Linked DNA regions of Coturnix japonica. The protein of the gene in region 2 purifies or fractionates together with the protein of the main gene of each other region. This does not show direct contact. Links are inferred from orthologs where the notes say so. Each region holds a gene or a part of one and is shown on either strand. Other genes may lie near its edges.

Region 1 (3,869 bases), on a different chromosome or scaffold from region 2:
CACATGGGTTAATTTCTTTTCTGCACCATTCTGCTTACCCTAAGTTCCTAAGAAAAAAAAGAAATCTCAACCAATAAAACAACTTCTTACTAAGCCAAAACTCAGATTTTCTTGTCTACTTGTCCTCCATTAACTAACTGTAAAGATGGACATACGAGTAGTCCTGAGCAATTAAGAACCAAAAGAAATACAAGTGCCCATTTCAGCATCATGGCAAACATTGTTATGGAGGTGGAGATATTTATTTAGAGCTGTAATAAAGTCTGATACCTTGTTATCCCACTTTTCTTTTTAACGGATTTGCCTACAGATGGAAGTCTCCCCTTGCAATCACAGAATGAGCAATGCGACTCTTTCAGCACAACTTTACAACTACAGGCAAAGTAAGTCCTTAGGAGGAAGTTTTTCACCCAGAGGGTGAACACTGGAACATGTTGCCCAAGGAGGCTGTGGATGCCCCATCCCTGCAGGCATTCAAGGCCAGGCTGGATGTGGCTCTGGGCAGCCTGGGCTGCTGGTTGGCAGCCCTGCACATAGCAGGGGGTTGGAACCAGATGATCATTGTGGTCCACTTCAACCATGATATATGATATATAAGCCATTATATATTTCTGAAGCTATAAAGTCATAATCAGCATCTGCTCAGAGAAAAGCAACCCTACCTCCACCAGGAAGACCAAAAGCAAGTGGAAAAGACACTCACATCAACATAACAAGGTATTCTGAATGAACATAAAATACCTACACTTACATTTTATTGTGATTTTGAGAACTCTGCAAGTAATTGCAGGTTATATAAAGAGCCAACCCCAACTCCAGAGAAAGGATTTTCTGGGGATCAGAAACTACAGCTGCTAGGCTCATCCTCCAGCATTTAAGCAGTGGGGGGGGGAGGAAAATCACCCAGGTTGCTCTAGAATACAAATACACTGGGCTCAAGATCAAACAGAGCATTCATCCAGAACACTTCTGCTCTGACAATGAAGAAACTTTTAAAGAAAATCAAAACAAGGTTTATACAAACCCCAATGTCTTACCTTAATCTTCTGTTCATATTCTGCCAGTAGGGACTGGCTCGCTTGCAATGTCTGGATTTGCTGAGTAGCCTCTTGCCATTTCCTATTAGAAACAGAGAAGAGAGATTTAGCACCCAGGAAACATGTACCAGAAAAAGACACATGCATGGTAAACATTTCCAAGTATCACTAACAAAGTATATGGTACTGTTATGTAAGATCATCTCACACTCTCATTGTCTTCCTCTAATACACAAAAGATATCAATTTCTTCACTTAAGATGCACCTTGAGAAATATTCTCTTTTACTGCGAAATCAGTAAATATTTACACACAGCAAATAATAAGGAAAACCAAGGATAGCAAAGAAAAACACACTCAAATCTGTCAAGTACCCCTCACCTATGATTTACGGCTTGTTATTTTTGTTCTGTTCAATCTATAAAATTCAGATCAGCCTTTCCCACCCACCTGCCTTCTGTCAGCTCTCCAGTACGAACATGAAACATCACTGAGAGAGATTTTAAGCTTGAGTAATTTTTTTTTCCTCAAGGTACAAATAAAATTCTGCTAAGAGCTACTTTCAAACAGTACTTATAACCTGCACATCCAGTTCAAAGAATCCCTTTGAAGAGTGGAAATCAAACAGCGTTGAAAGGTTTTTGAGTGACAACAGCTGCATAAGACTGAAGTTTTGTTTGCTTTTTTCTCCTCATAGTTACTCGTCTTCTGCTTACTTATGTTGAACATCCAGCTGTTCCATCAGCTCCTGCTTCTGTGAGTCTTGGCTTGTCATCTGCATCTCCTGATTCATTATATTCCATTGTAGATCAGATATTTTGCCTTTTAATATAGTGATTGTCTGCATTAGTGGGAATAAAGAAGAAACTGGAGATTACAGATTGTAACACACAGAAGTCACATCCAACTAATGATTCTGAAGAATGAACTGTGCATAACTCCAGTCTCATCCACGCTACAATTCCCCCAGTGCCCCTGAACAATTCCCATCTTGCTGTCTCCTCCATCACTTCCTGCACTCTTTATTCAAAGTCATGCAAGCTGACTCTAGCAATACACTTTTTTGGTACATCAAAAAGGCCATTTTCCATTCACAAGAACTACGAAGTCACCTGAATCTACGAATGGATAAGAAAGTTACTCCGTTCTTACTTCATTAGCTTCAGCTAATTTGCTCTCCTTCTCTTGCAGTTTCTTACTCATGGTCTCCATACTCTTCTTATAGGATTTGTTCACCTCCATTTGCTCCTTCAGCTTATTTTCAGCTTCTGTTTCCCTTTCCTGATACTGCTTTAAGCGTGTGAGCAGCTCCTGGTTACGGTCAGCCTCTCTCTTGCAAAGAGAAAAACATGAAAAGAGACATAGAAAACCAGCACAAAGGTGAAGCCCTTTTTGCCTCTTTATAACTGCGGTCACCACAGCATCACATCGAAGCCATGTTATCAACACCAATAGCTTTTAAGCCTTCCACTAGCAAGGACAGCATCAGCAACTCAATGTCAAGGAACTACTCGCAGCAACAAAGCTGGAAAACAGACTATTCCTCCCTCTGTTAGTGGCACCAATCCTGGAATACAGACACGGCCCCACAGACTGCACTGCACACCCTGCAGCAGATCAAAGACGAGAACATTTGATGTTCTGATTTAAAACTGAACCACACATAGCAAGTGTGCATTCAGAACCTCAGAGCTCAGTAGTTGTGTTAGCAAGACAAACTTTCCTCTGCAACTCCTGGCAGTTTTATGAGGCTATTTAATGGAAAAGCAGCCGGGCTTAAATGCACAGTATTATCAATGAACATAATAAACATTTCTGCACTCCGACGATCTCTCATACACCTTCTCAGTTTTTTCCTACCACAAATTGATTAATGCTTATTTGAAAAATCTGCAGTAAATTGCTTTGCTAATCAAAGCAAATCGAGACATGGATTTACATAGTAAGTAAGGATTATGCAAAGCAATATGAGCTTCCTAAAGCTTTCATCCACATGACTCAAAAAAAACCACAGAATGTGAGCAGGGTGATTACACAGCGCTGGATTAGTGCTGCTCCCTTTTCTGCACTAGTATTTCAAGGGTTCCTGCGACTGACTCAGCTGGATTCCAGTTTGAACTCTTCGTGGCTTAATGCTAAATCACCTGACTTCAACAGGAACGAAGACTTGAGTCACTGACCCACTATTTAACAACCACATTCTAAATCCATCACCCAACACTCTTAAAACACAACAAAACACGCTTTAAAAAAATCATTTTAAGTAATTAGCTGCGTGTAGGACTTCTATTATCATACAGAACCCAGAGCTCTACTGGCACTTCCAGTGACAAAGCTAAGCAAACATATACAGGCATAAAATCAGAAACCAAGAAAAGCTATTAGTCCCTGAGTGAGGCTCACAGTCTTATCAATGAAAGCTCTCTTGTGTGACAGTGCATGGGTTGGCACTGCTGCCATTCCAATTAAATTACAGTCACAGAAACTAAGTACTTGCAATTGTGCCAGCAAAAGTTTAAATTCATTTGGGAGAAAAAGCGCTTAAATATCTCCAGGAAAAACAAAGAACAAATCCCTTTTTGTTACAGCAACCCATGACAATTCCAACGCTGTGTTAACAAGATCTAGCGATCAGATCAGACTGCTCAATGAGCAAACAACGTTCTGACATTCACACAGGATTTGTGCACATTGGCAAGTAGCACAATGCACACACACCATATGCTATTCAGAAGTCTTTACTACAGATGAGCTCAAGTCTGAAGACTGAGTGCTCATTAACAGCTGGAGAGCACTGTGCTTGCTCCTGGACTGCATCTTTTAGTCTTGTTT
Region 2 (4,533 bases):
TGTGAGTCAGAAGGTTTTTAAATGACTTTGAGAAGTTCTTCTTGAAAATACTGTTAATCAATGTCTTTTTAGGGTTGGAGTTTACGTTCCAACAGCTGTTGCGGCTTTTCCCCAGGAGATAGCACATACACCACAGGTCTGGGCAAAGAAGACCTTCAAGAACATCGTCCAGTACTCTTACATGCCACGTGGAGGACATTTTGCTGCCTTTGAGGAACCAAAGCTGCTGGCACAAGACATCATCCGCTTTGTGAGAAAGGTGGAGCGGCTATGAACCTGAATTTAGATACATGTATAGAGTGGAAGCAAGTTGTTCTGCCACACACAGAAGCCTTACTTTAAGGGATTAAATAAACTCAATACGATCACAACACAGAAGCCATTTTATTTTGATAATGATGATGATAACTATTAAACTTGTTTAACTCTAAAGCTCTTCATATGAAAAAAAGCATCTTGTCTTCTATTCCTGGCACCGTATCACTGCTGCATTCATAATTCAAGTATAATTGAATATGTAAACAACTTAATGCAGTTACATTGCACTCATCTGGAGGAGATAGAAAGGAATTGGCCCCTTGTTCCTTCTTCAAATACTGAAACTTTAGCATACTTAAATAGACACTTCAAGCAGCTTTGGTGGAAATGTAAAGGGCTTAGATGTCCTGAGGATATCAAACACTCCTATGGAATCATTTGAGTTACACTTCATTCAAGAGACCTGTGATTATACTCTCAAGTGAGCAGCTGCACATAAGGCAGCTCTCCTTATTCCAGCAGTCCTTAGAGCTAGTTTTAGCACTTACTAGCTGTCAATGGATAACAAGGCAAAAATGCACCTGTAGTGTTCTTTAAAAAAACTGATTTCCTTCCAGTTTTACAATCTTATTCACTGCCAAAATGTCAGAAAAGCTTAAAATATGCACTGAGTGCAGAGGGTTAACTCACCCTTTAACAACCTCCTTTCAAATGATTTTTATCACCCCATCAAACAGCTTTTGTTAGCACCTAGTAAGCAACCTTACTACCAACAGCTTAGAGATTCTCTTCTTATGGATGGAGCTGTTTAACTCATTACACGGCAGAGACATATCCAGATGACTCAAGACAACTCCAGCAGATATCTGGTTCTGGCATTTGTTTCTCCTCCCTGCCCCAAAAGCAAATAAGACACTTTTATTTTCTGTTAAGTGAGAATAAGCTTTAACATTGAGGCAGGAGTCCTAACTTCATAGGAAGGAGAGAATAAACTGCTTGCTCCTAACTTTAATCACATATCAATCTGATTGTTAGGTCTGATGGGCTAAAAACTAGTAAAGAAATAGGCAGATGTGCTCCCTTGCCTTCACAGGACCACTCAGCCTCATTTCATCACCAATATAAGACACAGTGTTAGGTATGAAGTCTCCCAGTTGCTAAAGGGCACCATGCTGGATTCCTAACAATCTGAAACAATGTTATGGGAAGAAATATATCATCTACTAGATGGGCAAGCACTTGAGTACTCAAACCTGAGTAGGCTGCAGGAAAAGGTCTTTTTTCACATCAGTGAGGTAAAGACTGGTTATGGCCTTCACAGTAATGGCCAGCTATGTTAATAATCATATATGTTATCTTGTCCCAAATGATCATAAAATGCAGTAATCATTAACAGAAATGGCTGCAGTAAAACTCAGGAGAGTAAAACACAGAAGGACTGTACCCGATATTTGTCAGTTCAGCAAGCATGTCACAGGGAAGTTTTTACACCCAATATATCAATTAATCTCCTTAAGGAATCACTATATCTGTATGCAACTGTGCCTTAAAGGGCATTTGCTTTCAATGACAAGTCAGGAGGTGAACATGGAAGAAGGTGGTCCAGGAAGGCAACAGATGTCCTAGAGAAGAGATCCAGAGAGACAAGAGTGTGCCATTATATTTGATAGGATTATTGCCTAAAGCAGCACCAAAAAATATTCAATATCCCATTAAAGTTCTATAGAGCGCAGATCATTCATGGAAGCCCTTGAGCGTCACTGGTGCTTGAAACCATATGTAGTCCTCCCAAGCAGAAGTCAGAGTCTGAGGAGCTGAGGCACTTGTATCAACGTCTCCATCACAGGACAAATTAATAGTCAGTTTCCTTCCTCGGGTTGGCACTTTGTAGTTGAGCTTGGGCCGGAACCATTCCGCACCACAATTGCGATGCCCTTGGAGCATAACAACAGTGCCCGTGACGGGAAGAGCTTTGAGTTCACTGAAGACATCTGCAATGAAGAGCGAGTGAAAAAGCTTACGTACGCAGGATGTGGTTTTCAGGCTTTTCTCAGCGCTGCCCACACAGATCCCCTCCAAGTTGAGCTCGTAAAGCTCCTTGGGGCTCACAGCATTGCCACCGAGCAGAATAAGAACACGGGGAACCAGCGTCAAGCTGAACATCACTTCCAACTGTTGGAACACTCCCTCCAGCTCCACCAGCACCTGCTGGCACTTCTTGCTTGCCAGGCCCACAGAGGACGGCTTCTTGATCACATCTCCATCCTGCAAACCAGAACAAAAGAGACATTAATACAAGTAAAAAAGATTGGAGAGGGTCCTGATTCACTCTTCATAAAGTATGGTGCATCCCCTCCTCCATCCACGATGGAGCAACGTGCAGAAGGCAACATTTGAGCTTGGAGCCTACAGGTTTCTAGAAGGGGACACGTTGGACAACGAGTGAAGGCGCTGCAATTGCGGCTTTTAAACGCCCCCCCCCCCCCCAAGGCAATGCCGCCCCCCACCTGCGCGGCCCGCTGGCAGAAGTATGCGAGCTGCTCGTAGGGCAGCGGGAGCTGCTGCCGCTGGTGCAGGACGTGCTTCAGCAGCTCGCAGGCGAAGCGGCAGCAGCTCTCTCGGCTCACGGAGCCCGGGAACACCACGGACACGGCGGGGCTCAGAGCCGTCGGTGCGCTCCGCCGGGACCTCCTCCCAACGCGGCCGCGCTCCGGGGCTGGCGGCGTCTCCGCCGTGAGGAGCGGGGAGGGCGGACTACACGGAGCCGCCGCAGCCGCCACACCGGGCGACCGCGTCCCTCCCGGCGCGGCCATTTTGTGAGCGGCGCTGTCCGCCCGCTGCAATTTGAATGGCCGCCGCCGCGGGGCACCATGGGAGCGGGGGAGCGACCACTGCGCGGCTTCCGGAGAGCGGGCGCCATGTTGGATGGGGGGAGGGCGCTAGGAGCCAGCCCTGCGCAGCAGAACAGCAGAAGAGCGCCCCCCAGCGGCCGGGACAGCGGGGCTGTGCCCTGTCCCACAGCCCGCCCGCAGCGCTGCGGGGAGGGGGCACGGCGGTGATGGGGGCCGGCCCTGCACAACTCCCCGCCTCACATCGCCCCGGGCGCTGTTGGGCAGGAGCAGCAGCGCCGCAGCGAGGAGGAGGAGGAGGAGGAGGAGGAGGAGGCGGGCACCCGGCCGGGGTGGAGGGGGAGCGGCCGTGTTTGGAAACAACGTGTCCGCGGCCCCATTGGGCGCTGCCCGCCACGGGCCTCCCACAGCGTGTTGGCAGACACGGACACGGCGGCGCCGTGCCCCGGGTGCGGGGTGAATAGCGGGGTGCTGCTGGCACGGCACATGGGGGCCGAGCCCGGCGCTGTCGTTGTGAGCCCCGTCGGAAGGAGCTGCGGTGTCTGCGTGAATTGTCACGTACGTGGTGCCGTTTCTCCGCCTTTACTGGGTAGTTTTGCTGCCAGACATGTTGTAAAGCGCCCCGGCTTCCCGCCCCCGGTGCCAATATCCGTGTGCTGGAGCGCCCCGTCCCGTAACGGAGAGCACCGGGGCACCCCGAGCTCCATGGCCGCCAGGGGGCGCCGCCCGCACGGGACTTCAACTCCCATCCGCCCTTGCGAAGGGAACCCATAGAGGACGTTGCGGGTAGCGCCGCGGGGCACGTCGGGAGCAGCAGTCCCGAGAGGGGCGCGGCGCGGTGCGTGCTGGGAATCGTAGGCGGGTGGCGCCGTGGACTCCGTTTCCCGTGGTGCCTTGCGGCGGCTCGCTGACGGCGGGGGCCGGGGCGGAGGGGAGCCCGGGCGGGGAGCGGGGACAGCGGGAACGGCGGCGGGCGGCGGGGCCTCAGCGGCCGCCATGGATCCGCGGGTGTCGGAGCTGTTCGGGGGCTGCTGCCGGCCCAACGGAGCCGCGTTGCGAGGACGCGGAGGGGCCGCGCCCGGCGGCGGCGGCGGCGGCGGCGGCGGCTCGAAGGCGAAGAAGAAGAACGGGCGGAGCCGGGGGGGCAAGGCCAACAACCCGCCGTACCTGCCGCCTGAGGTGACACGGCGGGGGGCGACACGGGGCCTGTCAGCGCCGCACGACGGGATGGACGGGACGGGGGGGCGGCTTTGTGCGCCGCGGGGCCGGGGTGGGAATGAGGGGGAGCTCGGGGCAGCGCTGCGGGGGATCCCCGGCTCCGGGATACAGAACGGAGCTCGGCACGGCACGGTACCGGCACGGCTCGGGGAGGCGGTGTTGTCGTACGCCGGGATGCGGCGGGTGCCGGCGGGCTCGGAGGGAGCGA
Region 3 (2,906 bases), about 13 Mb from region 2:
CTCACAGCTCTGCTGCCCAGAGCCTCTGCTCTCTGCACTCAAGACAAGACAGCTCAGTCAGACATCTGAAGCTAGATGGTACAATTAACGCCAAAAAAATTCACTGGATGGAACTCCTGTATTTATTGTATTAAGAAAATAATATACTTTACATCACAGTGCTTAATTAATGCAATTTAAAAAAAAATAAAAATAAAATGTAAACTCAGAATTCTAGATAAAATTTAGCTTGAAAAATTAGGGCTCCAGGACTTTAAAATTCACCTTTTTTTTTCTTTTTTTCTCTTAAATTGAGGTCATAGACAGTCAGTTCACATAACTCATAAGCATTTAGGATTACTTGTAAATACCTGTTGAAGCACTCCATTGTTTGGTCACATTTAATGTTTAAAGCCTAGATATCAAATAGACCAAGTGCAAAGGTGAGAGGTATATTTTAATTTGTGGATCAGGAATCCGGAGTGCTCTAGTAGATGTAAGGAAATATGCGGTACGGGACACGCTGACAATACCTTTCCCATGCCAAACCATATTTTTTCTTACAATGATGTTCATCGCGAGCTTCTCGATGAACAAGCAAGCAGATGAAATAAATCACATAGAAATATGGCAAAATGTGATTAAAACCTGTAAAATAAAGTGTGAAAAATCAATTTGAATGCATGAACAAACATTTTAGCTGTTAGCAACATGTGGTGACGTGAACTTGTTAAGAGGCCGAAGCACCTTGTGCTCATAATAAAGCATCAAATATTCAACAGGACAGCACACATATAATGTGACGTTTAAGTGTGAGTGGGAACACCTCTTTATCCTCCCCAAATAAGCTTCATATTTAGTCTCAAAACCCACTGACTTCACTCTGTGTATATGAACCCAGCACATGTTTAAGCTCTCTAGCTACCAAAACTACAGTTCTGAGCTGCCTCAAAAACTACAGGAATTTCTGTGTTGGGTGTGGATGGTAACTACCTCTGCTCAGAGCGCACCACCTACCTGATCCCCTCCCACTCCCACCCTGTGGCTACCAAGAGAGGATTCAAGTTCCTCATTTTTATGCAGGAATCCTCTTCTAAGATACTGTCTACAAGTGTTTTTGCTAGCCAATATTGTCTACTTTCAATTTGAAATCCCAAATCCCTATGGATACATTTCATTCCTGGTCTCTGCTGATACTCAGGGCCTTAACTACTGCAAAGACCCACTCTGCCACAATTCCCTACATCCCACAACCTGCAGAAGCCAAACTGTGCCATTGGATTGAGCTTCAAGCTTGCAACTTAGAAATTTGCCATTAATTTAATAAAACCTTTTATTACCCCACTTATCAATTAACATTTCAAACTGACTCAGAACCCCAAATGTACAACCATTTTAGATAGAATTTAAGGTGCTTAGGTACTCACCCCAGGGTAGGGACCACGCAAGCGCCATGATGATATCACCAAGGTAATTGGGGTGACGAACAAACCCCCACCAACCTGTGACAAGAAGTCCTTTCCCAGTGGCAGTGGGTATAACTTTCAGATCTATGAATGGAGCATTGCAGTCAATACAACAGAAATGTGCATGTCACGAGTCCAAAGGGACACCGTAAATAATTGAATAAATAAAAAGATGCACTTACAGGACAATTTGGGATCTGCTGGATTCCTTCGGAAATTGTTTTTCTGAGAATTTGCACTACGGAATATGTAATACCCAACACCTGGAAATAAATATTAGTTACTTTGCATTCTCTGTATTTTATACTGCTTTCATCCTTTAACAAAAGCTCTCACGTGCTGTTTGTCACTCGTACTGCACTGAAATTAATCCTGTTTCTGAGGAAAAGACACTCTCCAGTTGCCAGAGCTCTAACAAGCTAGAGGTGCTACTGGAGAACTGTCACATATGCTCTAGCATGTTAGTGACTAACTTCTAAGATTTTAGAGAAGCTGCACTTTCACATCTTACTTTCTGTTTATAACTGACTTATAGTTTGTTTACGTAGCACCGAGTTCAAAAATCCAGGTAAAGTGATGTGTCACAGTAGATAGCTCTACTAGCAGCCCAGTACTCTGAGGTGCCTACTCCATTGACCCAGAGCATATTTCATAAACTGACTGACTCACTGCAAGTATACAGCATTACACAAACCAGATCTGAAGAGACCACTACATTGTTACTATCAGTAACAATAACATTTACTGTAACTTACAGTTCAGAATAGTAATTGCAGCTGCAACAGGCCAAGAAATTGTGACAGGATGTCCAACTAAATAGAAGGCCTGCAGACTGTAGACAAATGGAACCCACACCAGATCTCCAAATGCTAGCATGAATCCAAATCCATCATGGGTAATATCCATTGTAGTCAAAACAGCTTCCTAGAAATATGGAAGGAATAAAGAATTTATAAAGCTTCATTATTTAAACAATGTAGTAAGAAATAGTTTCAGGTTAATACAGAGCTGAAGACTATACTGTACCTCATTCCAAAGAGCATCCACCACATATAGAAGCTGAAAGCTGTTCACAAGTATCATTGACAGCGATGGCATACTTTGGTTATATATCTTCATCTCAGCCAAGAGCATTGCCAAGTTTATAACAACCTAATTTAGAATGAAATGATTATAATTTTTTCTTGAACAACTATTTTTTTTTCCTATTATGCTAAAGAACATTTTAATAAGGATGGTTTTGACTAATATTCAAGATGTAAAAAACATCCTGTTTCATGTATTGTACTAATGACTTTTCCAAAGCCGTAGCATCAGCATATTTGTACTCTCAGAGGGGTTTTCATTCCCCACAAAGCAAACAAGCTACAATGCAGGAGTTGTCCTAAGGTAAATAGAAATAACCCTTTAAATTTATCAACACAAAACTGCATGTTCTTTTTCTGTTTTTAAATACTTCTT

The links. Proteins that work in one complex are often made in the same cells at the same time.
Region 1: the proteins of MAD2L1BP (region 2) and MAD1L1 purify together in Homo sapiens (co-immunoprecipitation; 4 studies listed by BioGRID and IntAct, with this or other methods). This does not show direct contact. The link is inferred for Coturnix japonica from reciprocal best matches to the Homo sapiens genes MAD2L1BP and MAD1L1.
Region 3: the proteins of MAD2L1BP (region 2) and LBR purify together in Homo sapiens (co-immunoprecipitation; 3 studies listed by BioGRID and IntAct, counting the BioPlex papers as one, with this or other methods). This does not show direct contact. The link is inferred for Coturnix japonica from reciprocal best matches to the Homo sapiens genes MAD2L1BP and LBR.

Annotation. Positions count from the first base shown.
Region 1 is NC_029529.1:3,147,095-3,150,963, forward strand, and holds part of MAD1L1 (mitotic spindle assembly checkpoint protein MAD1), read right to left. Parts: intron 2,370-3,869; coding exon 2,190-2,369; intron 1,879-2,189; coding exon 1,754-1,878; intron 1,120-1,753; coding exon 1,038-1,119; intron 1-1,037. UniProt on the Homo sapiens protein: Component of the spindle-assembly checkpoint that prevents the onset of anaphase until all chromosomes are properly aligned at the metaphase plate.
Region 2 is NC_029518.1:27,748,926-27,753,458, forward strand, and holds MAD2L1BP (MAD2L1-binding protein), read right to left. Parts: upstream 3,116-4,533; 5' UTR 3,072-3,115; coding exon 2,766-3,071; intron 2,524-2,765; coding exon 1,993-2,523; 3' UTR 366-1,992; downstream 1-365. Other genes in the region: epoxide hydrolase 1-like, read left to right, coding at 73-274; GTPBP2 (GTP-binding protein 2), read left to right, coding at 4,104-4,286. UniProt on the Homo sapiens protein: May function to silence the spindle checkpoint and allow mitosis to proceed through anaphase by binding MAD2L1 after it has become dissociated from the MAD2L1-CDC20 complex.
Region 3 is NC_029518.1:15,153,709-15,156,614, reverse strand, and holds part of LBR (delta(14)-sterol reductase LBR), read right to left. Parts: intron 2,598-2,906; coding exon 2,472-2,597; intron 2,370-2,471; coding exon 2,201-2,369; intron 1,709-2,200; coding exon 1,628-1,708; intron 1,530-1,627; coding exon 1,407-1,529; intron 628-1,406; coding exon 467-627; 3' UTR 1-466. UniProt on the Homo sapiens protein: Catalyzes the reduction of the C14-unsaturated bond of lanosterol, as part of the metabolic pathway leading to cholesterol biosynthesis.